Sus scrofa: one gene and its partners. The protein of the gene in region 2 purifies or fractionates together with the protein of the main gene of each other region. This does not show direct contact. Links are inferred from orthologs where the notes say so. Each region holds a gene or a part of one and is shown on either strand. Other genes may lie near its edges.

Region 1 (3,589 bases), on a different chromosome or scaffold from region 2:
TCCAGAACATGAGCGGCTCAGAGCCCCCAACGGGAGGGAATGTGCTTGGAAGCGGAGACAGCGGGGAAGGACTCCCGCCTTCCTCACACTCCGGGGCCCCTCTTCCCCCCTGACCAGGGGGACCCAGGGCTCTTCTGCTACTCACTCTTGTTCGAGCTGAGCCACGGGGCACTTGTACTGGGCCGTGCTGAAGAGGCAGATGTCCGCGTACTGTCTCACTGTGGGGCGGGGCCAAGCAGCTCTGCATGGAGTGTAGACAGCAGCCCACCCAACTCCAGCCCGCGCCCCCCCCCCCCGCAAGGACCCCAGGTCCTGGCCCTTTAGCATCCCTGCCTGAGGACATGTGCCCCCCACCCCCCCATCCTGGGACAGCCTGCATTCCTTGAGCCCCCCGGGGTCTCCAGCCCTGGGGTATGTCCTGTGGCTGAAACTCCCTCCCTTCAGGCAATTTTCCAACCCCCACCTCCTACCAGAGACTTTGATCTTCTTGACAGTCTTGGTGGAGTTGTTGGTGACGTGGACGTTGACATTGAGGGGCTCCCCATGGTAGTACAGCTTTTGGGGGGAAAGTTAATTGATGTCTCTTCACTGGTCCTGTTATTACTGCGCCCCCACCTCCCGCAAACACACACCCAGTGCTGGGCCTCCTCCATCTAAAGCCAAGCCCACCCCTGCAAGGAAGGCAGCCTCCTTTAGAAGCGCCCCTCCCCAGGGTCTGGCCTGCACTGCAGCACCCTGTCGCCCCCCCCACCTCCTTGTCCAGGGACGCCTCGAGGTGCAGGGACCGGTCAGACATGAGGAAGTGGCGTGTGGTTTCAGCTGAAGGCTGGGGGCCGGGTTTCTCGGGGGCAAACTGCACCTTTCGGATCACCAGCCGCACAGAGTTCCTGGGGGCAGGGAGGAGGGGTCAGACAGACTCCAGACGTGGCCGTGGCCGAGTTCTCACCCCTCACTTCTCACCTCCAACCAGGCCTGGGAGCTGGGAGGTTATGGTCAGACCCAAGGGGGGGGGTGCTTTCCTCACCTTTTGTGGCTTTTCTCTTCTACCGATTTGGCACAGAAGGCTCGAATCTCAAAGTCCACCCCGCAGGCCTTGAGAGGGGGAGAAAAGGTCACATCTTACACAAGCCCCTGCCGCCACCACCACTCCCTTCCTTCCCGCTGCCTTCGTCTTGGGCAGCCACTCTTGCCCCATCATGCTCTGAGGCGTGCAGGGCCCAGGTCTTCCTCCTCTGTCTCCGCGAGGCCCGGCACCCGGCAGAGGTCGGACCTGGCTGTGCGAGGCGAGCCCCCATACGCCGCTGTGTGCAGGTCATGAGCAGGAGGCAGTGTCCCACATGCGCAGTGACCATTCCTTGCACGTGCCCACTGCTCCCAGGGACATTTTCCTACCCTTAGCCCCACCTGGACTTCTCAGGGCCCATCCCCCCCCAAGTGTGCCCCTAGGACCCTGTTCCTCCCGTACCTTCCCTGTGTCCTCTGGGCCTGGCTGCAGGGTGACGGAGCAGGGCAGGTTCTGGGGTATCTGTGGCGGAGGAAAGGAGAGGCTTCAGTCCTTCCCGAAAGCCCCCCGAAATCTTCCTCCCAATCTCAACTTAAGAGGCTGGAGAAGGACCCCTGGGGATGAGAAAGGACACAGGAAGGGCCCCCTCCACCGGGGGGAGGGGGGAAGAAGGCAGAGAGGCAAGAGCTTCCTGTGTGCAAGGCGACCCTCAAGGACGGGGATCTGGGGTCTCTCCTCCCTGTTTCTTCCAGACCTGCCTGGAGCAGGTGCCTCACCCCCCAAACACAGTCCCAGAGCCCTTGCTCTGCAGGGGGTGTGTGTGGGGGCATCCTCACTGTGAAAAAAAAGGGGTGGGCGTGCTGGCCCAGCTTCCTCAGCAGCCGGTCCTGCAGCCGGGTGGGGGGCCGGGGCGGGTTGGGCATCGGCGGGAAGGCCTGGTAGGTGGCGATGAACAGGTCTTTGCGGAAGGACAAGCCCAGCACATCCAGGTCTTCGCGGCCATAGCGGAAGGCGCAGGTGAGGGTCACAAACACTGGCAAGAGAGGGCGAGGTGGGGCGGTCAGGGGTCCTGAGTGGCAGCTGCTCCCTCCTCGGCAGCATGAAACCTGCCCGCATTCCTACCTCTGGCTTCCGCCCCGGCCCTCCCATCTCCCTGGGGCCCCTGGAGAGGCCAGCCTGTTTCATTTCCCCGCCCTCCTCCCGGCCCTTGGGCCCCTGGACTCGGGGCCAGTACCTTTGCGGTCCTTCAAGTAGTCAGGGTCCACAAGCACCACGCCATCTGGGAAGGGGACACAGGAGCTGAGTCCCTGTCGGGGCCTCTCCTCCATCCCCGGGCCCAGGAGCTTCTTCCCCTCCCGGGGACACGAGGACTTTCTGAGCACACTTACCCACAGGATCCACTTTATCCAGGTGATCTACAAAGTCCCGCTTGCCCAGGTACACAGTGAGCTGAGGATGCAGAGGGGGCACAGGGAAGGTTGGGTAGGAGGGGGGCAGGGCTGCAGAGCCCTCAGAAGTGGCTGCCCTGCCCCTGGCCTTCCCAGGCTGGGGTATCTGGAAGGAGTTTCTCCTGGTTTCCTCCCAGTAGGGCTGGAAGAGGAGAGTGGTGGGGCCTCCCAGACCACCCAACCTGGAGGTTTGTAACAGCTCTCTGATAACTTTTCACACCTCTGCCCACAAGTCGGGTGTTTGTGTGTGTGTATGGGTCCAGGAGGACCAGGCCCTAGGCAGGCAGAGAGCCTCACCGATGCCAAGGACCTCTGGGATACAGGGGCCATAGCCTGGGGCCATGGTATCTGTCCCTAGCCCCCGGGAATGGTGGGTTGGCTCCCAAGAGGGCTCCAGGCTTGGGCTTCTGGCCCTTCCCCCTGGTCTTGCTTAGGGACCCAAGCCTGTCCCCACCCAGCCCTGTGGCTGGCTCAGGCCTCTGCAGCTAGGGGCTTCAGGAGGGAAGGAAGTGGGCGCTTAGCTGTCACAGGAAGTGGGGAGCCGGGGGTTGGGGATCGGCTAGGGGCAGGCCCGGCTTTGGGAGGGTTGGGAGACTCACCTTGCAGTTAGGACTCGACTTCTTGAAGACCCTAACAAAACAGAAAGGGAAACCCCACTGCCTCCCTCAGACTCAGCAGGGACCCTGGTGCCAGGACCTTGTCCCTCCCCAGCCTGAGAAGCAAAGCTCCCCCGAGCTTCTTGCCTGGAGGCCTCTGGGCTTTACCCAGCCCTACCCCCTCCCACTTCTTCCCAGAAGGAAAGGTAGCCAACCACAGGTCCTTCATAGTCCCAGCACGGCGGCAGCCCCTCAAAGCGGGTTCCCATGGCAACCCCCCTAGCTCCACCCTCACTCCTTCCCCTCCTCCCGTGGCCTTGGCCGCTGGGTTGCCACAGGAACCACTTAGGCTCTTCCCAGAGGACCTCCCCGCAGGGGACCTGAATGGGCAGGTTGCAGGAGTGTCTGTGGGAGAACGAACCCTCCTTCCATCCCTGGTCTCCACCTCTAACAGGAGCTGGAGTCCTTGCAAGAGCAATGGCTCTGGCCTTTGCCTCCGAAAAGGTTCCTCTGATGGGCAGTACCTAAGTGCGACCCCATTT
Region 2 (4,046 bases):
AGGTTCGGGGAGTAGGGGTGCGGGCAAGTTCAGGGAGTGGAAGGGGCAGGCAGGTTAGGAGAATGGGGGTGGGGCAGACAGGTTCGGGAATGGGGGTGCAGGCAGGTTCGGGGCGTGGAGGGGCAGGCGGGTTCGGGGAGTGGGGGTGCAGGCGGGTTCGGTGGGGGGGCAGGCGGGTTCGGGGAGTGGGAGAGGAGCAGACAAGGGGGAGGAAGAAACCTCTCACTTCTCTCCTCTTTGATTTTGTACAGTTCTTATTTTGCATTATCATTTAAACGATTAAGCAAGGTATAAAATGCATGTTCGGTATGATTCACATATTTGAAGAAATATGCTCAGAAAAATAAATGGAAGAATAATTTGCCAAATTATGTGTGGTAAGAATATGGGTAATTTCCCCCACCTTTTTAAAAAATGATTTTCACATATTCTATAATGAATACTCCATGATGAAGCCTGTATTTCTTTTACAATCGGAAATGTATTTAAAAATTAAGAAATTACCTTCTGTCTAAGTAAAAACCAGTAACGCAGAGAACGCTAACTCCCCGGCAGAGCTACGACTGCTGTTGGTTAAGCACAAACTGCTCTGAGAACAGAGCTGTCAGGCCTCAGGCGGTCACCCCAGCCGGTGCTCTGGAACCAGAGTGCCGGCACGGCCACGCTGCACACCTCCAGACACACCAAGATCGACACGGCCCAGACACACACAGGAGGGGCCTGCCCGCCGCCCTCTGTGAAATCTCCTTGCAGCAGCTCTCCTCAAAATATGGGCTTCTTTCTTTCGCTATCAGAATCACCTGGGGGGCTTGTGAAAACGGAGCTCCTGGAGTTCCCGTTGCGGCTCAGCGGTAAAGAACTTAACTAGTAACCATGAGGACGAGGGTTCGATCCCTGGCCTCGCTCAGTGGGAAGGATCCGGCGTTGCTGTGGCTGTGGCTGTGGTGCAGGCCGGCAGCTGCAGCTCCGATTGGACCCCTAGCCTGGGAACCTCCGTGAGCTGTGGGAGGAAGAAGCCCTACAAAAAAAGGAGGGAAAAATAAAAGTGCAGTTCCTGGGCCGCACTGACCAAAGCAGATGCAAGGGCCCAGCTATGCTTTTGTTCACCACTGGACACCCAACACCGGGGACATGACAGCCCAGAGGAAGCGCTCAAGTCAAGACTAAGACAGGGGAGCTCCCATCGTGGCTCACTGGTTAACGAATCCGACTAGGAACCAGGAGGTTGCAGGTTCAGTCCCCAGCCTCACTCCCCAGTGGGTTAGGGATCCAGTGTGGCTGTGAGCTGTGGTGTGGGTCGCAGACGTGGCTTGAATCTGGTGTTGCTATGGCCCTGGAGGCTAAAGCTCCGATTAGATCCCTAGCCTGGGAACCTCCATATGCCGGAGGTGCGGCCCTAAAAAGACAAAAAAAAAAACCAAAAAAAAACTAAAACAGGTATGAGGGGCCCTTCTGACGAACCTCTCCAGGGGCCTGGTCCTCCAGGGCACACACAGTGAAGGAGAAGCGGGCGGCGGGCCCGCCCCTGGAACAATCTGGCATCAGTGGCTTGTTCCCCAAGGAGCAGGCACCGGGCTGGGCTCACCCCGCACAGTGGACTTACTGGCTTTGGCATTTCTGGCTTCGGCCGCTTCCTCCTCCTCCTCCTCCTCCTCCGAGCTCTCCGAGCTGCTGATGGGGTCTGACACGCGGGTCTTCTTGGCCTGCAGGGCTGCGTCTTCCTCCGCCTTCCGCTTCCGGCCAAGCTCCGAGGTTCTGCAGGACAAGGGTGACTGACCTGCTCCACCGAGGGACAAGGGCGACCCCAGGAGAGTCAAAAAGGAAGATCCTCCCGCCCCTCCCGCCCCCGAGGAAACGTGTGTGAAGCTACAGAAACACTGTGGATGCAAGTTTGGGGTCTGCAATCTCACGCCATCGCGTCCTTACAGCCACCTCTGCGTCTTCAAAGCGGCAGCAGCGCGCCGTCCCTGAGCGCCCCGGGCCGGCACTGCGGACACAGCACGGCAGTCGGGCTGGGCTCCGGGGGCTCCAAAGCGGGGGCGCCTGCACTGCCCTCTTCCTGGCCTGGCCTCGGCTCCAGCACAGCCTCCTCAGAGGCCTCCCTCCCACGGGACCGGTTCTGCCCTGCCGTCCTGGGTCACATGCTTCTCTCCTGTTATTTCACCCACTTCCTGCTCGACGCCCCCCCGCCCCCGTACAGGCAGGCCTGGGAGGGGGGTGCTGGCAGGAACCCTCGCGCCTCACTACAGCCCCTCGAGCGCCCAGCGCAGGCTAAGTGACGCGCCCAGGGGCAGGAAGAAGGCTGGGGCTCCAGGGAGGGGGTGAGCACCCAGACGGCCGAGTCGCGGGAACTTGGAACTCGGAAGCCGTGTCGCCTCTGACCCCAGCCCCCTGCCCGGAGGGAGTCCCTGTCTGTGCCCCGTGGTCTCCAGCTGGGACAGACGCGGCTCTGCCACAGTCTGGGGTGTGCTGCTCGGGCCCCATGTTCCCAGCAAGGCCACCTGCCGGGATCTTCTGCAAAACCAGGTTCGTTTACTCTGAGGCCCAGTTCGCTCCGCCTCTCTCCTCCCAGCAGAACGCAAGCGGCACAGAAGCAGGCGTTTTGTCTGGTTCGCTCCCAGCTACGGTAAGAACAGCGCTGGCGCACGGCAGGCGCTCAGTGAACCCTGGGGGTGGGGGTGGGGTGGCCATGCCTCCGGCGGCAGGTGTAGCGCGTCATCTGCTCTTCTCTATTTCACGGGTGGAGATGGACTTGGGGAGGCCAAGTTTGTCCACGGTGATCCACTTGTCGCTGGGTTCGCACCACTAGCTAGGAGGGCTCTGGTCCTCAGCGCCCCCCACCCGAGGAGGGGCCTGTGCAGGGAGGGGTGGCGGCGGGCCCGCTGAAGCAGTTCTCTGGGAAAGGAAGTGCCAAGCCCACGCCCAGACACCGGGCAGGAGGAAGGGGGGCCCCGCGCACCTAGCAGCAGAGCAGAGACAAGACAGCTCTCCCCCGGCCGAGCTCTCCACCCGAGGGGGGCCCCGACACCAGCCTGCCCTGTTGGCACACCCGAGGCCGGGGAGCCCACCCTCCACAGCAGCTGCCCTCATCGTGGCGACTGAGACCCACTGCTTCCACTCGGAAGCTGAGCCCGTCTTCCTCGAGCAGGTACATTCATTCCGACTTCAGTCTCTGAGGCCCCCGAGGACCCCCCACGCTCTCCGTCCTCAGAGATGGCAGACCTGGTCCCGCACCTGCCTCTCTGCCGCCTTTTCCATCTCGGACCTCCTGTACCCCTGCCATTCCTCAGGGGACACGATCAGGTCCTTCACAGCCCGAGCTGCTGCGGTTGGGCCGCTTCACGGGCAGAACGACTGTCCCCGCGTCATTCTCAAACCACTCCTCTGCTGTCCCCCCATCACCCCTCCCCCTGTACACGTGGCACAGGCTCATCACATTCCACGTGCCCTTGAACGCTCTCCCCCCATCAGGCTCCTTCCACGCAGGTGTACAAGCCAGACACCCGGGGGCGCCCGGCGCCCCCGCCGCCCCCGCCCCGTGGCTCTTGTTGGGACGCCGACGCCCACACACCGGCCTGCCGACCTCACCCCTGGCGGCTTCCCCGCCCCGTGGCTCCCACGGCGCTGGGGACAAAGACACGCCTTCACGCCGTGGGTCGGGCCCCGCTGACCTCGCCTGCTCCGTGCCTGCTGCTACTGGCCTCAGCGCCAGCAGGTGCCCCGCCAGGGCTTGGCCTCTCCATACCTACCGCCTAGTTCACTGCCCACGCCCCGATGCGGTCACATCAAAGCCCAGAGGCCACGCTAAGCTGTTAGGTGGCCGGGCCCTGGACACCGCTTCTCCCCACCCTCACCGCCCCGCAACTTCCCCGCCCTCGTCTCAGTGTCTGAGGCCTGTCTCACTCCAGACAGCATCTCTGTACCTAGAACAGACCCGACTGACTGAAGGAGGACCAGCTGCTGAGAAGCTTCGTCCTTAAGAGGCGCTGATCCCAGGTCTCAGCATCCTCTCCACGACCAGACACCCACACCTGGGATCTGGCTTC
Region 3 (4,046 bases), on a different chromosome or scaffold from region 2:
GAGGCCAGGGATAGAACCTGCGTCCTCATGGATGCTAGTCTGGGTTCATTACCGCTGAGCCACGTCGGGAACTCCCTATCTGGTCCTATTTCTGAAGCTTTGCTTACGCTCAGTCCCAGCCTATAACATCCCCTTCCAGCTTCCGCCCTCATCCGCTTCCTTCCCCGAGGTCAACTGACCTTCCTTCCTCAAGGTCAACTGCTCTGAACTCCTACCACATCAGGGGCCAAGCCATCCCGTGGCAGCACGTTATGTGGCTCTGTGTCTTGGTAGCCAGCAGGATGCTAAGAAAGCGACTATGTTTCACTTCCTGCGTCCCCATGGCACCTAAGAACGTGAGCTCTTTCAGGATAGACGTTTCTGTCTAAATCGTTGACTGCTATGTTCTCAGTACCTACGACAACGCCGGCCGCCATGTACTGAATACCTGCTGAGTATTTATTAAATAAAAATGTGCACGGGGACAAGGGCCCCAGGAAGAACGGGGGCTTGAGGAGGTGATGAGTTCAGGGAAAGGACGCATATGCAGTCAGGCGACGAGGACCAGTAAAGGAGATAAAGACTCAGTGAGATGAGGGTGGCCCGGCGACGGGGCTCAGGGAGGACAGCAGGACAGGCAGTCTCCGTGGGGGCTGGGTGTGCTGGCATCCCTGATTCTCAGAGAAGCCACCTCCGTTCCCTGGAGCCAGACAGCCAGGATTCAAGTCCTAGCCCTCCCCTTACTAACGGCATGACCTTGAGTAAATGAACCCCTGGGCCTCAGTTTCCTCATCTGTAAAATGGCGACAATGGCAGGACCCTCTTCTTACGCTTGCTGTGTGGATTAAATTAGCTCGTACGTGTCCATCACTTTGAACTGTGTCTGGTGTATAATAAGCTCTTGATAAGTGCGAGCTGCTGTATTATGTTAAGGGGTAACTCTGGCGTGGCTTTAAAATGTCCCATGGGTGCAGGTTGAGAGTGCTGGCTCTCAGGGCTGCCTCCCCCGCCTTGCTCTGGCTAGACCCCCTACCACAACCTACAACCCCCTTCCTTTTTCCTGGTCTCAGGTCTTCAGAAGAAAAAGGGTACAGAGAAGCAGAGGAGACGGGTTCCCTCTCGCCACGCACATGAGCTGCCAGGCTGGAGTGGGAGACGCCTGCAATGCCACATGTAACCACCAGGTGGCAACTTGGCCCACTCACCAAGGGGTTGCAGCGCCGGTGACTGGGGGCAGGGGCTGCAGAGTTGCTGGCTAAGCCCTTCCAGGAGGCCAAGCGCAGTCTGAGCCCAGGAGGGGCAGGTATGGGAGCGGGGCTGGGCAGCTCACCCCAGAGGTAAGGGCCAGCTACTCCCGGCAGCTGGTCTGGGCTTTCTGTCCAGCCAGGGCTGTGTCTCTCCAGTAAAATGCTTCCCTCCTCTGAGACAAGGCTGACCTCCTCCTCTCTCTGCCCTGGGCAGCTTCACCTTCTCCACTTCCCTCCTTTGCTCAGGGGCCTCCACGGACACAGCTCCCTCCCCTCCCCCCCGACCCCCCTTGCCACCCCCAACCCCCTGCTGATGGCCTCCCAAGAGAACTGGGAAGTTGGGCCAGAATGGCAGGGGAAACATCTTGCTCACTGTTGAAAACAATCTGAATTTCAGGTTTTTTCCAAAACAAATTAAAGGACACGAAGTCTGGAGAGGAAGAGATTAGAGGCAGGGAGATGAAGGAAGTGGGTACAGAGTGGTGCCAAGGACAAAGCGCTGAGGCCTGAGCCAGAGCAACGGAGCCACCTCCTCCAGGAAGCCCTCCCGACCTGCCAGCCTTCCCCTGTGCCCTCTGCAGAGTTCCCAAGGCTGGAATGCAGCCCCTCCTCACACACTTCCAGGCATTGTTCCTTCTATCCTCTTCGGACTTTTCCGATCCTGTCTCCCCCGACGGCCAGCAGGCAGCCCACACCCAGGCGGCCGAAGCTGCCTCTCCTCACCGCTTGTGGATCTTCTCCTCCAGGTTCTCTGCACAGAAGGCTTTTACTTCGTAGTCCACACCGCAGGCCTGTGGGGAAGGGTTTCTGAGCACAGGGCCTTGGAGAGGGCAGGCTCCTGTGGGCACGGCTGGCCTGCCCTCATTTACCAAGGCCACGGGACAGGAACACATGTTCCCACAGCCTGAGCCCTCTCGTGCACCGTGCACTGCGCTGCAAAGGAAAAAGTGCAGGGCTGCCTCCCCCATCCGACCCTCCCACGGAGCTGCTCCCTGACCGGCTCCTCTGAAGACTCCTGTCCACATCGAGGCAGCCGCCCAGCAAGGACAGCGGGACCTCGGCAGCCCCGCGCAGGGAGCGCCGCCTGCACGCGGACCCCGCACTGACCGCTGTGCCCTTCAGCATTCACTCCACCCTCCGGACACGCCACAAGGCAGGTCCCATCACCTCCATGTCGCAGATCTGAGGCCTGAGAGGTTCTCCGAGCCTCAGTCTCCCCCCCTGAGAAATGGTGATGGGTGCACCTCCACACAAGGTTGTGAGGCCCGACCGTTGTCCAGAGAACATTCTGCAGCCAACACCGAAGGGCAAGTGACTCAGGAGAGGCCCTGGGCACATCACTGAGCCAGGGGGCAAGGATGATACCATACCTGTCGCCCCATCTGAAAAGACTCCTCATCTGAGGTGGGATCAGCCTGGTCTAGACACAGGAGGTGTCTACAGGGAGGGTTCCAGCACCCCCAGAGAGAAGGTGGGGACTGGGGACACAGCGTCCTGGACCCAGAGAGATGCTCCCTTGGGGGGACCCACCTTCCCTGTGTCTTCAGGCCCCGGCTGCAACGTCACAGAGCATGGGAGGTTCGGAGGGATCTGTGAAGAGGACAGACGGACCTGTCACATTCACCTCGGGCCTCCCTGGGTCTCCGCCCCCACCCCCACCCCCCATTCATCAGAGCAGGGGCCCCTCAGGACAGGCTCCTTCCATCAGACTAGGGAATTCAGAGGACAGGCCACGTCTCCGCCATCAGACCACGCCGGGCCACGCCCCGTGTGAGACCAGAGGTCCCTCCAGCAAAGCCAAGAATTTCAGTGCTTTTCTTTATCTAAGGGTTTAGCCCAGCACAGGCCCCACAGAAGGAGAGCGGCAAAGGTCTTTCCAAGAAGTCCGCTGTGGTAGGCAGAGAAGTGGCCTCCCCCAGGGGTCTACCTCCTACTCTCCAAAGCCCAGCACTGTTGCCTTAAACGGCCCAAACGACTTTACAGGTGTGATGGAGGCTCCCGCGATGGGGAGAGTGGTCCCGATTATCCAGGTGGGCCTGATGTAAGCACAGGGTCCTTAACCGTGAAAGCAGGAAGCAGAGAAGTCAGCATCAGAGAGATGGGATCCGAGAAAGACAGGCTGGGCCCCTGCTGGCTTTGAAGATGGACCAGCGGTGGGCTGGGGCCAAAGAGTGTGAAATTGAAGCAGGAAAAAGCAAGGAAACAGAGTCCCTCCTGGAGCCTCCAGAACCAAGGCAGCCCTGCTGATACTGGATTTTTAGCCCAGTGAGACCTGTTGTGGACTTCCGACCTCCAGAACTGTAAGATAACACCTTTGTGGGATTTTTTTGAGTTTTTTTAGGGCCACACTTGCAGCATATGGAAGATCCCAGGCTGGGGGTCAAGTCGGAGCTGCAGCTGCCAGCCTGCACCACAGCCACACAGATCCGAGCCTCGCCCGTGAACTGCACCACAGCTCACGGCAACGCCAGATCTTTAACCCACGGAGCGAGGCCGGGATCCAACTCGCATCCTCATGGGTATTCGTCAGATTCGTTGCCACTGCGTCACAAGAGGAACTCCCACCACAGTTGTGTTTTAATTTGCAGGTTTAATTACAACCCGGTTTGCAGTGGTTTGTTACAGCAGCCACAGGAAACCACGAGAGGGTGGCTCTTTCTGTCTCTGACCCCCACAGAAAGCTGGGAGATTTCACTGATCGAAGAATCAGAGTCTGAGAAACAGGAAACTTGAAACTCCAGATTCTTGGAGTGGAAAGGGAGCCGAGCAGGGAAATCTCGCCCTCCTCATTTGTGAGCTGGGTGGGGGCCGGCTCGTGGG
Region 4 (4,046 bases), on a different chromosome or scaffold from region 2:
AGGGCCACATTTGTGGCATATGGAAGTTCCTAGGCTAGGGGTCAAATCAGAGGTGTAGCTGCTGGCCTATGCCACAGCTCATGGCAATGCCAGATCCTTAACCCACTGAGCGAGGCCAGGGATCGTACCCGCATCCTCATGGATAGTAGTTGGGTTCGTTATCGCTGAGCCATGACAGGAACTCCAACATTTGCTGTCCTCTAATGCTTACGGACCAGCAGGCTCAACATCACAGAGTCATGTATTCTTTGGGCAAGATTTAGTTAACCTCCAGAGAGGAGAAAAGGGAGAAAGGAAGATAGTGTATTGGTCAAGCAACAGAGAGAAAACTGAGACATGTCACTCGACCACCCTTACACAGTCTCTCTGTCACTGGACTAAATGACCTTGCATTTTGCACTGTCTATAATCAAAGTCCGGGACATACTTTACCGGGGGCGGGGAGACCATAGACATGAATACCAATAAGCATCCACATAAAGTGAATATACACACATACTTCAAGGTGAGACCTAAGAGGTGGGTAACTCGGGATTTTAGTAAGGTCCTTCCTTTCCTCAAACTCTTTGTACTTACTTATTTCCTCCTTAAAAAATACACTATGATCACCTTATTACTTTCAACAAATCATTTGTTTTTTGGTTGTTTTTTTAAATGGCGGCACCTGTGGCATATGGAAATTCCCAGGCTACGGACTGAATCCAATCCACAGCTGCAGCAACGCTGGATCCTTTAACCCACTGTGTCAGGCTGGGATCAAACATGTACCTCTGCAGCAACCTGAGCTGCTGCAGTCTGGTTCTTAACCCACCAGACCACAGTGGGAACTCCAAATCATGTTTTATTGGCGGGGGTGGGGGGAAATCTCTGAATAGGTTTCCACACAAATGTACATATTTGAAAACAAAATTTTAGATACTTGTGATCTATCAACTCAGAGTCACAGGCTACAGTCCAACAGACCAGACTCAAGGGAGCCCCAGTGGTGAATAAGCAAATACCTTTGCAGGGTTGTTTCAATAGTCTAGAACTAATGAGGCCAAATACCAAGGATGATTCATCCAGATACGCAGAATTCTCTCAACCAGCCTCTAAGATAAAGGGTAGAAGAATTTCTCTGACAAATCAGGCCCCTGGAGACTCACAGAAGTACGGGTGCTCCATGGCCTCTTTGGCGGTCAGTCTCTGTTGATGGTCATATCGCAGAAGTTTGTCCAGAAGATCTAGGGCCTCAGGGCTGACGAGGTGTCTGTTCTCACTATGGATAAAGTTTTCCCAGCGTTTCCGTGAATGTCTGAGAAGAAAAGGAAAGCACTGGTATTCTGAGACTAATTCAACAAGAATCCTTACGTATTAGGGCTCAAGCCAGCAAAGTCTTAGAACACTGTGCTGATTACAAGCTCATTAAATCTGAGTTCCCGTCATGGCGAAGTGGAAACAAGTCTGACTAGGAACCACGAGGTTTCGGGTTTGATCCCTGGCCTCGCCCAGTGGGGTGGGGATCTGGCGTTGCCATGAGTGTGGTGTAGGTCGCAGACGTGGCTCGGATCTGGCATTGCTTTGGCTGTGGTGTAGACTGGCAGCTACAGCTCCTCCATATGCTGCAGGAGCAGCCCTAAAAAGACAAAAAAAAAGACAAGCTCATTAAACCTCTTTCTTACTGGTGCCTGTCCCACCTCCCCTCACAGTTATGATCACAACATTCTCAAAAAAAAAAAAAGTGCTCTGTGACTGCTAACACAGAATTAATTAAAACTTCTACATCTGATTTAGAAGTTGTGGAACCTTTTTAGATAAATTTTTATATCCCAGGCTTTGTCAATTCTGGGTTAGGCAAAGAGGTAGCTGAGTAATCTTTATTGTTTAGCAGGTACATTTACAGCATTAGCTTTAGAAACACGGAGGTTCTATAAATTACTGTCTAAAAATTGTCAATACTACATTTACTTTTCAACACTATTGTACTGTATCTGAAAACATGCTTTAAAATTTGCTCCCTTCTAGAAAATCCATTACACAGAACAATAAGCAACCAACTCTCTTTTTTTTAGGGCCACATCCATATGGACGTTCCCGGGCTAAGGGTTGAATGAGAGCTATAGCTGCTGGCCTACACCACAGTCACAGCAATGCGGGATCCAAGCTCAGTCTGCAACCTACACTGCAGCTCATGGCAATGCCAGATCCCTAACCCACCAAGCGAGGTCAGGGATCAAACCCACATCCTCATGGACACCAGCCAGGTTTGTTACCACTGAGTCACAATGGGAACTCCCCAAAAATCAAAGAATTACAGCTTTCCATAATCTTCCATTACTACTGTATAGCATAGGGAACTGTGTCCAATCTCTTGGAACAGAACATAAGAGATGATATAAGTATATATATATATACATATATACACACAAACACACATATATATGACTGGGTCACTTTACTGTACAGAAGAAATTGGAACAGTATAAATCAATTGTACTGTAATAAAAAAATACAAAAAATTTTTCCATTAAAATAAGCATATGCTGTACTAGATTTTGTCTTCCATTTTCTATTGATAAACAGGTTATCTCTCAGAGAATTATACTGATTAGAAGACACATGTGTAAACAATGCCCAATATTTCAAGGTAAGTTAAAAAATAATACAAATGGGGGGAAAAAGTATTTCCATCCTGACACGATTAGAAAGGGGAAAAGAGCTTTTAGAAAGCTAACCTTTTCACTTCTGAAATGGGCTAAGTTAAAACCCTCTTTCTTTCTCTCTCTTACTTACTGTCCCAGGATATCGTTGAAGTGTGGATCTAGGTCTATGTGATACTTCTTCAGATACCCATACAGCTCATCTGTACCCAGAACCTTGGCAATGCGAACAAGCTGAAACACAAAACAAACTGACCAAATCACTGAGCACAGAACTCACTGCCAAGCCCGTGGACATGCTGGACCAAGGAATCAGAAGACTTCCACATCAGTAAATCTCCAGGGACCAGATACAGATCTGAGCCTGGGGTGGACAGGCAGCAGACCCATGGATACGAAGTTCACATGAATGCAAATTTCCAAAATGCCTTTAAAACAGTAACAACAACTTAAGGCAATAACAGTTATGTTGGTATAACATCTAATGATTAGAACCTTATTTTATTAGACAAGGAGGTACTTGACTTCTTCACAGACTCACTTTGGAAGTTGGGCATAACAGCATTATCTGTCTTTATCTATAGGGACCCGGTAACTACAGACAAGATTCTGTGAAATTCTTTACTCTGAAAAAAGCTTATATGCATAGCATCCCTACAAGATGCTATTTTCTTGGCATCTGTCCCCAAATGGATAGGAGTCAGATGGTATTTGCTTACCTGGTCATAGTTATCCTGTCCATGAAAGAAGGGCTCCTTTCGAAAGATCATGCTTGCTAACATACAGCCCAAACTCCACATATCCAAGCTATAATCATACATCTGAGGAAATAAAGACAACCAGTCATCAAGGGTGTTACAAATGCCATTTTTCTGACCTGAGTTTCTAGTCTTTAGCTGACCTCTGCAGATGTTTTAAAATTCAAAGGAAAAAAAAAAAGAAAAAAGAAGCTGAGAAAAACGAGTAATTATCATTTTGAGATAGAATAGACAGGATTTTGAACGTATCCAAATTGACTAAATAAAAATCAGGGAAGAAAAAAAAAAAAAAAAAAAAACCCCACAGGAAAAGCCCTAGAGAAAAAAAAAAGGAACCCAGAGGTGCTTCACTAACAATTTTACCTGATAGTCCACAAGGAGCTCTGGTCCCTTGAAGTACCGCGAGGCTACTCGGACATTGTACTCCTGAGCTGGATGATAGAATTCTGCCAAACCCCAGTCTATCAGTCGCAGCTATAAGTATGGCAAATAAAACGTGGGAAAGGAATGTTTTTTAGATGCCTGTGTCTTACAACAAGGCCACATCATTTTAGATAAGTATTTGGCCACATAAAGTACACTGTTGATACTTTCAGCAACTACATTTAAGATTATTTCTAAAGCAGAGCACCTGGAATCTTACTTGCTT
Region 5 (4,046 bases), on a different chromosome or scaffold from region 2:
CTCTCCTACCCCACCCACCTCTCCACTCACCTTGGCATCAAAGGAATTATCTGCCACCCGAGCATCCACCTCGATCTCCTCCTCCCTTATCCTTCGGAATGGAGAGGATCCCCTGCGCTCTCCCTGGAGAACAATGAAGTAGAAAATCAAGGTGGCGTGGTCATGGAACAGAAAAGCCCCCCTGAGCTACACACACACAAGCATGTGTGCCAAGCCAGGCAAAAAACAGTCAGAGTCAGAGTTCCCGTCGTGGCACAGTGGTTAATGAATCCAACTAGGAACCATGAGGTTGCGGGTTTGGTCCCTGCCTTGCTCAGTGGGTTAATGATCCCGCGTTGCTGTGAGCTGTGGTGTAGGTTGCAGACGCGGCTCGGATCCCGCGTTGCTGTGGCTCTGGTGTAGGCCGGTGGCTACAGCTCCGATTCAACCCCTAGCCTGGGAACTTCCATATGCCGCGGGAGGGGCCCAAAGAAATAGCAAAAAGACAAAAAAAAGAACAGTCAGAGTCGATCCGAGATTTTTCTTCCTACTCTAAAAGCTGGCTCCTGAGAGGAAAATAAGACTGCTTACTTTCTTCCTTTTAGGAAATGTGTTGGGAGTCTGGGGCTTTATCTTCTTGGCTGGAGGTGTCTCTGTCTCCTTAGCAGCCTCATTTTGCTTCCGCTTCTTTCCTGAACCTGTACAACAGAAAATAAGCCTCAGGAGACTGGTTTCCTGGAAGCCACTTATGGGCCTCAGCTCCCTATCCCAGCCCACCCCACCCCAGGACTACAGCCCATCCTGATTTGGGGGGCAGGTTCTCTGGATACAGACCTGGCTTAGAAACTCCCACTGCTGCCTTTTTCTTGTCCTCTTCCTCCTCGTTGCTATCCCTATCTGCTTTTCCATTCTGGGCAGTCAATGCAGTGGTGCCATTGGCCTTGGGGGCCTGTGGTTTCGGAGTGCTCTTGCCCTTGGGCTTGTCCTCTTCCTCCTCCTCACTGGAGTCATCAGAGGAAGAACTGCTGCTGCTCTCAGCCTTGGCTTGCTTCGCAGATGCTGGCTTAGAAGGGGCTACAGCTCCCACATCCTTCTGTGGCATTTTTTTAGCTGGGGTTTTAGACGTCTTCTCTTCCTCCTCTTCCTCGCTGCTAGAGCTGTCTGAATCAGAACTGCTATCCCCACCACCCTGAGAGGCCTGCTTGGCAGGCAAAGATGGAGCTGCTTTGGCCGTCACCTTGGACTTAGGCGTTGCTACAGTCTTCTTCATCTTCTCGTCCTCACTAGAACTGCTCTCCTCCTCACTGGAGCTGCTATCAGCCTTTCTGGTCAGAGGCTTCTGGCCACTGCCTACAGGCTGCTTGGAACTTGTGGCTGGCTTAGCTATAGACTGCTTGGGAGTGGCAGCTGGCTTACTTGAATTCTTGGTGGCACTGGCTGGCTTGGCAGGAGCTTCATCCTCAGAACTGTCAGAGTCTAGACAGCAAGAATAGAATGAGTGGCTCCCCAAACTAGACTCTGGGGAGTCCCTGGAGCTCCCACTGCCCCAAAGGCCTCCATATGCCTTACCTGAGCTATCTGAAGAGCTCTCTGCTGCCTTCTTTGCTGGAGCTGCTTTAGTAGCGGCTTTTGGTACAACTGCCTTAGCTGGGGGTTTCTTTTCTTCCTCAGAACTTGAATCTGGAGTGAACAATGGCTCAGGCTGGGTCCAGAGCCCCCCCCCAACCAGGGGCAATACAAACAAGAGTCCCGCCCCAACCAGGGGCAATACAAACAAGATGCGAAGACTCACACAGAGCCTCAGCCCTGTCTTGCTTCAGGGAAAAGCAGAAGGGACAGAAGCATTTCCTCACACACTCCCCACTCCCACTTAGCACAGGTGACCACTCACCAGACTCGTCGCTGCTGTCCTCACTGCTCTCCACAGGCTCCTGCTTCCCTGCAGCTTTCTTGGGAGCCTGGGTTCCCAGGGGCTTCTTGGGTGACGGAACGGAAGGTGGGGGAACTGAACTATAAGTACCTATTTAGAAGGGAGAGTGTGGTGGTTTTAAAATAAGTACAGTGGAGTTCCCACTGTGATGCAATGGATTAAGAATCTGACTTCAGGAGTGCCCGTCATGGCTCAGTGGTTAACGAATCCGACTGAGAACCAGGAGGTTGAGGGTTTGATCCCAGCCCCACTCAGTGGGTTAAGGATCTGGCATTGTTGTGAGCTGTGGTGTGGGTTGCAGATGCAGCTGCGTTGCTGTGGCTGTGGCATAGGCTGGCGGCTACAACTCCGATTAGACCCCTAGCCTGGGAACTTCCATATGCTGGGGGAGCGGCTCAAGAAATGGCAAAAAAACAATAAAAAAAAAAAAAGAATCCGACTTCAGCAGCTCAGGTTGCTACAGAGACACAGGTTCAATCAGGCGCAATTAAAGGAGGCAGTATTGCCACAGCTGTGGCGTAGGTCGAAGCTGTAGCTCAAGTTCAATCCCTGGCCTGGGAACTTCCATAGTCCACAGGTGCAGCCATTAGAAAAAGAAATAGGAGTTCCCATTGTGGCTTAGTGGGAATAAACCTGACAAGTATCCATGGGGACACGGGTTTGATCCCTAACCTCACTCAATGGGTTAAAGGATCCAGCATTACTATGAGCTGTGGTGTAGGTCGCAGACTTGGCTTGGATCTGGCTTTGCTGCATTTGTGGCATAGGCCAGCAGCTACAGATCTGATTTCGACCCCTAGCCTAGGAACTTTCACATCTCATGGGTGCAGCCCTATAAAAAAAGACCAAAAAAAAAAAAAAAGTACAGAATTCTTTTGATACTTCTTCCTTCTAGAAATGGAGCTTAATTCCCCTTCAGCTGAGCAGAGGTTAGGATGGGTTGACTCATTTCTGACAAAAAGAACATGGTGGGGAGTTCCCTTCATGGCTCAGTGGTTAACGAACCCAATGAGTATCCATGAAGATGAGGGTTCTACCCCTGGCCTTACCCAGTGGGTTAAGGATCTGGCACTGCTGTGAGGTGTGGCATAGGCTGGCAGCTACAGCTCCCACTGACCCCCTAGCCTGGGAACCTCCATATGCCACAGGTGTGGCCCTAAAAAGACAAAAGACAAAAATAACTAATAAAATTTTTTAAAAAACCCAAAAAAACAGAAATGATGACATGTCACTCTTTCGAGTCCAGGCTATAAAAAAGACAGTGTGTGGCATTCTCCTTTCTCTGGGAGAAGCTAGCTGCCATGCCAGGTAGCTCTAGGAAGAGGTCCACATGGTGACTGCAGAGGTTCTCTGCAATCGGGCCCTGTTCACAGTCACATAGCTTGACTCCCCATGTCCAGCCACCTGGCGCTTTTTGGCTGTGCTTATGGCATGCAGAATCTGCCAGGATCGAACCTGAGTCAAAGTTGTAACCAGAGCCACAGCAGTGACAAAGCTGGATCCTTAACCCGCTGCACCACCAGGGAACTCCTCACCTGGTTTTTTCTTCATTGGTTTTTTCTTCTGTTCTTCCTCTTCCTCCTCACTGGAGGAGTCCTCACTGCTGGAACTCTTCTGGGCAGGAGCAGCAGCTGCTTTCACTGGGGCCTTGACCACAACTTGCTTTTTAGGTACCGTCTGCATTACGTGGAGAAAATCGATTACCACAGGAAAATGCTGACCCAACCAATCCTGCCATGAAACAGAGACCCCTCACCTCCGTCCCCAATGCCCTCTTCCCTGGTTGAAGTTAAGGCCCATACCTTCTTGGAGACGGCTGCTGCCTTCTCCTCCTCTGAGTCATCATCACTGCTGCTGCTGCTACTACTGCTGCTGCTAGCTGCTTTGCCATTGGCTACTTTAGGTGCTGCCCGAGCTGGTGTACCTACAATATAAGATAATGTAAGGAGCATCAAGGCACCAAAAGGCCATTAAAACTCTCCTTCCTATTAGCTCAGTACTTTGGAGTCTCCTGCCTTTGGAGCAGGCATGACGGAGAATGCTGTGGTTTACTGTAGCAAAGGATTAATTTCCTGCCCAACTTCAGGAATAAAACGGTCTTCAAAACCTTCATAGAGGAAAATTACTGAAGGAAATA

What was found.
Region 1: the proteins of TCOF1 (region 2) and ARRB2 purify together in Homo sapiens (affinity purification with western blotting; 4 studies listed by BioGRID and IntAct, with this or other methods). This does not show direct contact. The link is inferred for Sus scrofa from reciprocal best matches to the Homo sapiens genes TCOF1 and ARRB2.
Region 3: the proteins of TCOF1 (region 2) and ARRB1 purify together in Homo sapiens (affinity purification with western blotting; 5 studies listed by BioGRID and IntAct, with this or other methods). This does not show direct contact. The link is inferred for Sus scrofa from reciprocal best matches to the Homo sapiens genes TCOF1 and ARRB1.
Region 4: the proteins of TCOF1 (region 2) and CSNK2A2 purify together in Homo sapiens (affinity purification with mass spectrometry; 3 studies listed by BioGRID and IntAct, with this or other methods). This does not show direct contact. The link is inferred for Sus scrofa from reciprocal best matches to the Homo sapiens genes TCOF1 and CSNK2A2.
Region 5: the proteins of TCOF1 (region 2) and NOLC1 purify together in Homo sapiens (affinity purification with western blotting; 4 studies listed by BioGRID and IntAct, with this or other methods). This does not show direct contact. The link is inferred for Sus scrofa from reciprocal best matches to the Homo sapiens genes TCOF1 and NOLC1.

What each region holds. Positions count from the first base shown.
Region 1 is NC_010454.4:52,163,969-52,167,557, forward strand, and holds part of ARRB2 (beta-arrestin-2), read right to left. Parts: intron 3,108-3,589; exon of another isoform or gene 3,082-3,107; coding exon 3,051-3,081; intron 2,453-3,050; coding exon 2,392-2,452; intron 2,283-2,391; coding exon 2,238-2,282; intron 2,037-2,237; coding exon 1,840-2,036; intron 1,526-1,839; coding exon 1,466-1,525; intron 1,093-1,465; coding exon 1,025-1,092; intron 888-1,024; coding exon 752-887; intron 556-751; coding exon 146-555; intron 1-145. UniProt on the Homo sapiens protein: Functions in regulating agonist-mediated G-protein coupled receptor (GPCR) signaling by mediating both receptor desensitization and resensitization processes.
Region 2 is NC_010444.4:151,371,088-151,375,133, reverse strand, and holds part of TCOF1 (treacle protein), read right to left. Parts: intron 1,756-4,046; coding exon 1,604-1,755; intron 1-1,603.
Region 3 is NC_010451.4:9,536,293-9,540,338, forward strand, and holds part of ARRB1 (beta-arrestin-1), read right to left. Parts: intron 2,817-4,046; coding exon 2,757-2,816; intron 2,018-2,756; coding exon 1,950-2,017; intron 1-1,949. UniProt on the Homo sapiens protein: Functions in regulating agonist-mediated G-protein coupled receptor (GPCR) signaling by mediating both receptor desensitization and resensitization processes.
Region 4 is NC_010448.4:19,981,976-19,986,021, forward strand, and holds part of CSNK2A2 (casein kinase II subunit alpha'), read right to left. Parts: intron 3,872-4,046; coding exon 3,761-3,871; intron 3,461-3,760; coding exon 3,359-3,460; intron 2,874-3,358; coding exon 2,773-2,873; intron 1,295-2,772; coding exon 1,146-1,294; intron 1-1,145.
Region 5 is NC_010456.5:113,160,901-113,164,946, reverse strand, and holds part of NOLC1 (nucleolar and coiled-body phosphoprotein 1), read right to left. Parts: intron 3,834-4,046; coding exon 3,712-3,833; intron 3,587-3,711; coding exon 3,445-3,586; intron 2,000-3,444; coding exon 1,871-1,999; intron 1,660-1,870; coding exon 1,549-1,659; intron 1,456-1,548; coding exon 814-1,455; intron 678-813; coding exon 571-677; intron 124-570; coding exon 31-123; intron 1-30. UniProt on the Homo sapiens protein: Nucleolar protein that acts as a regulator of RNA polymerase I by connecting RNA polymerase I with enzymes responsible for ribosomal processing and modification.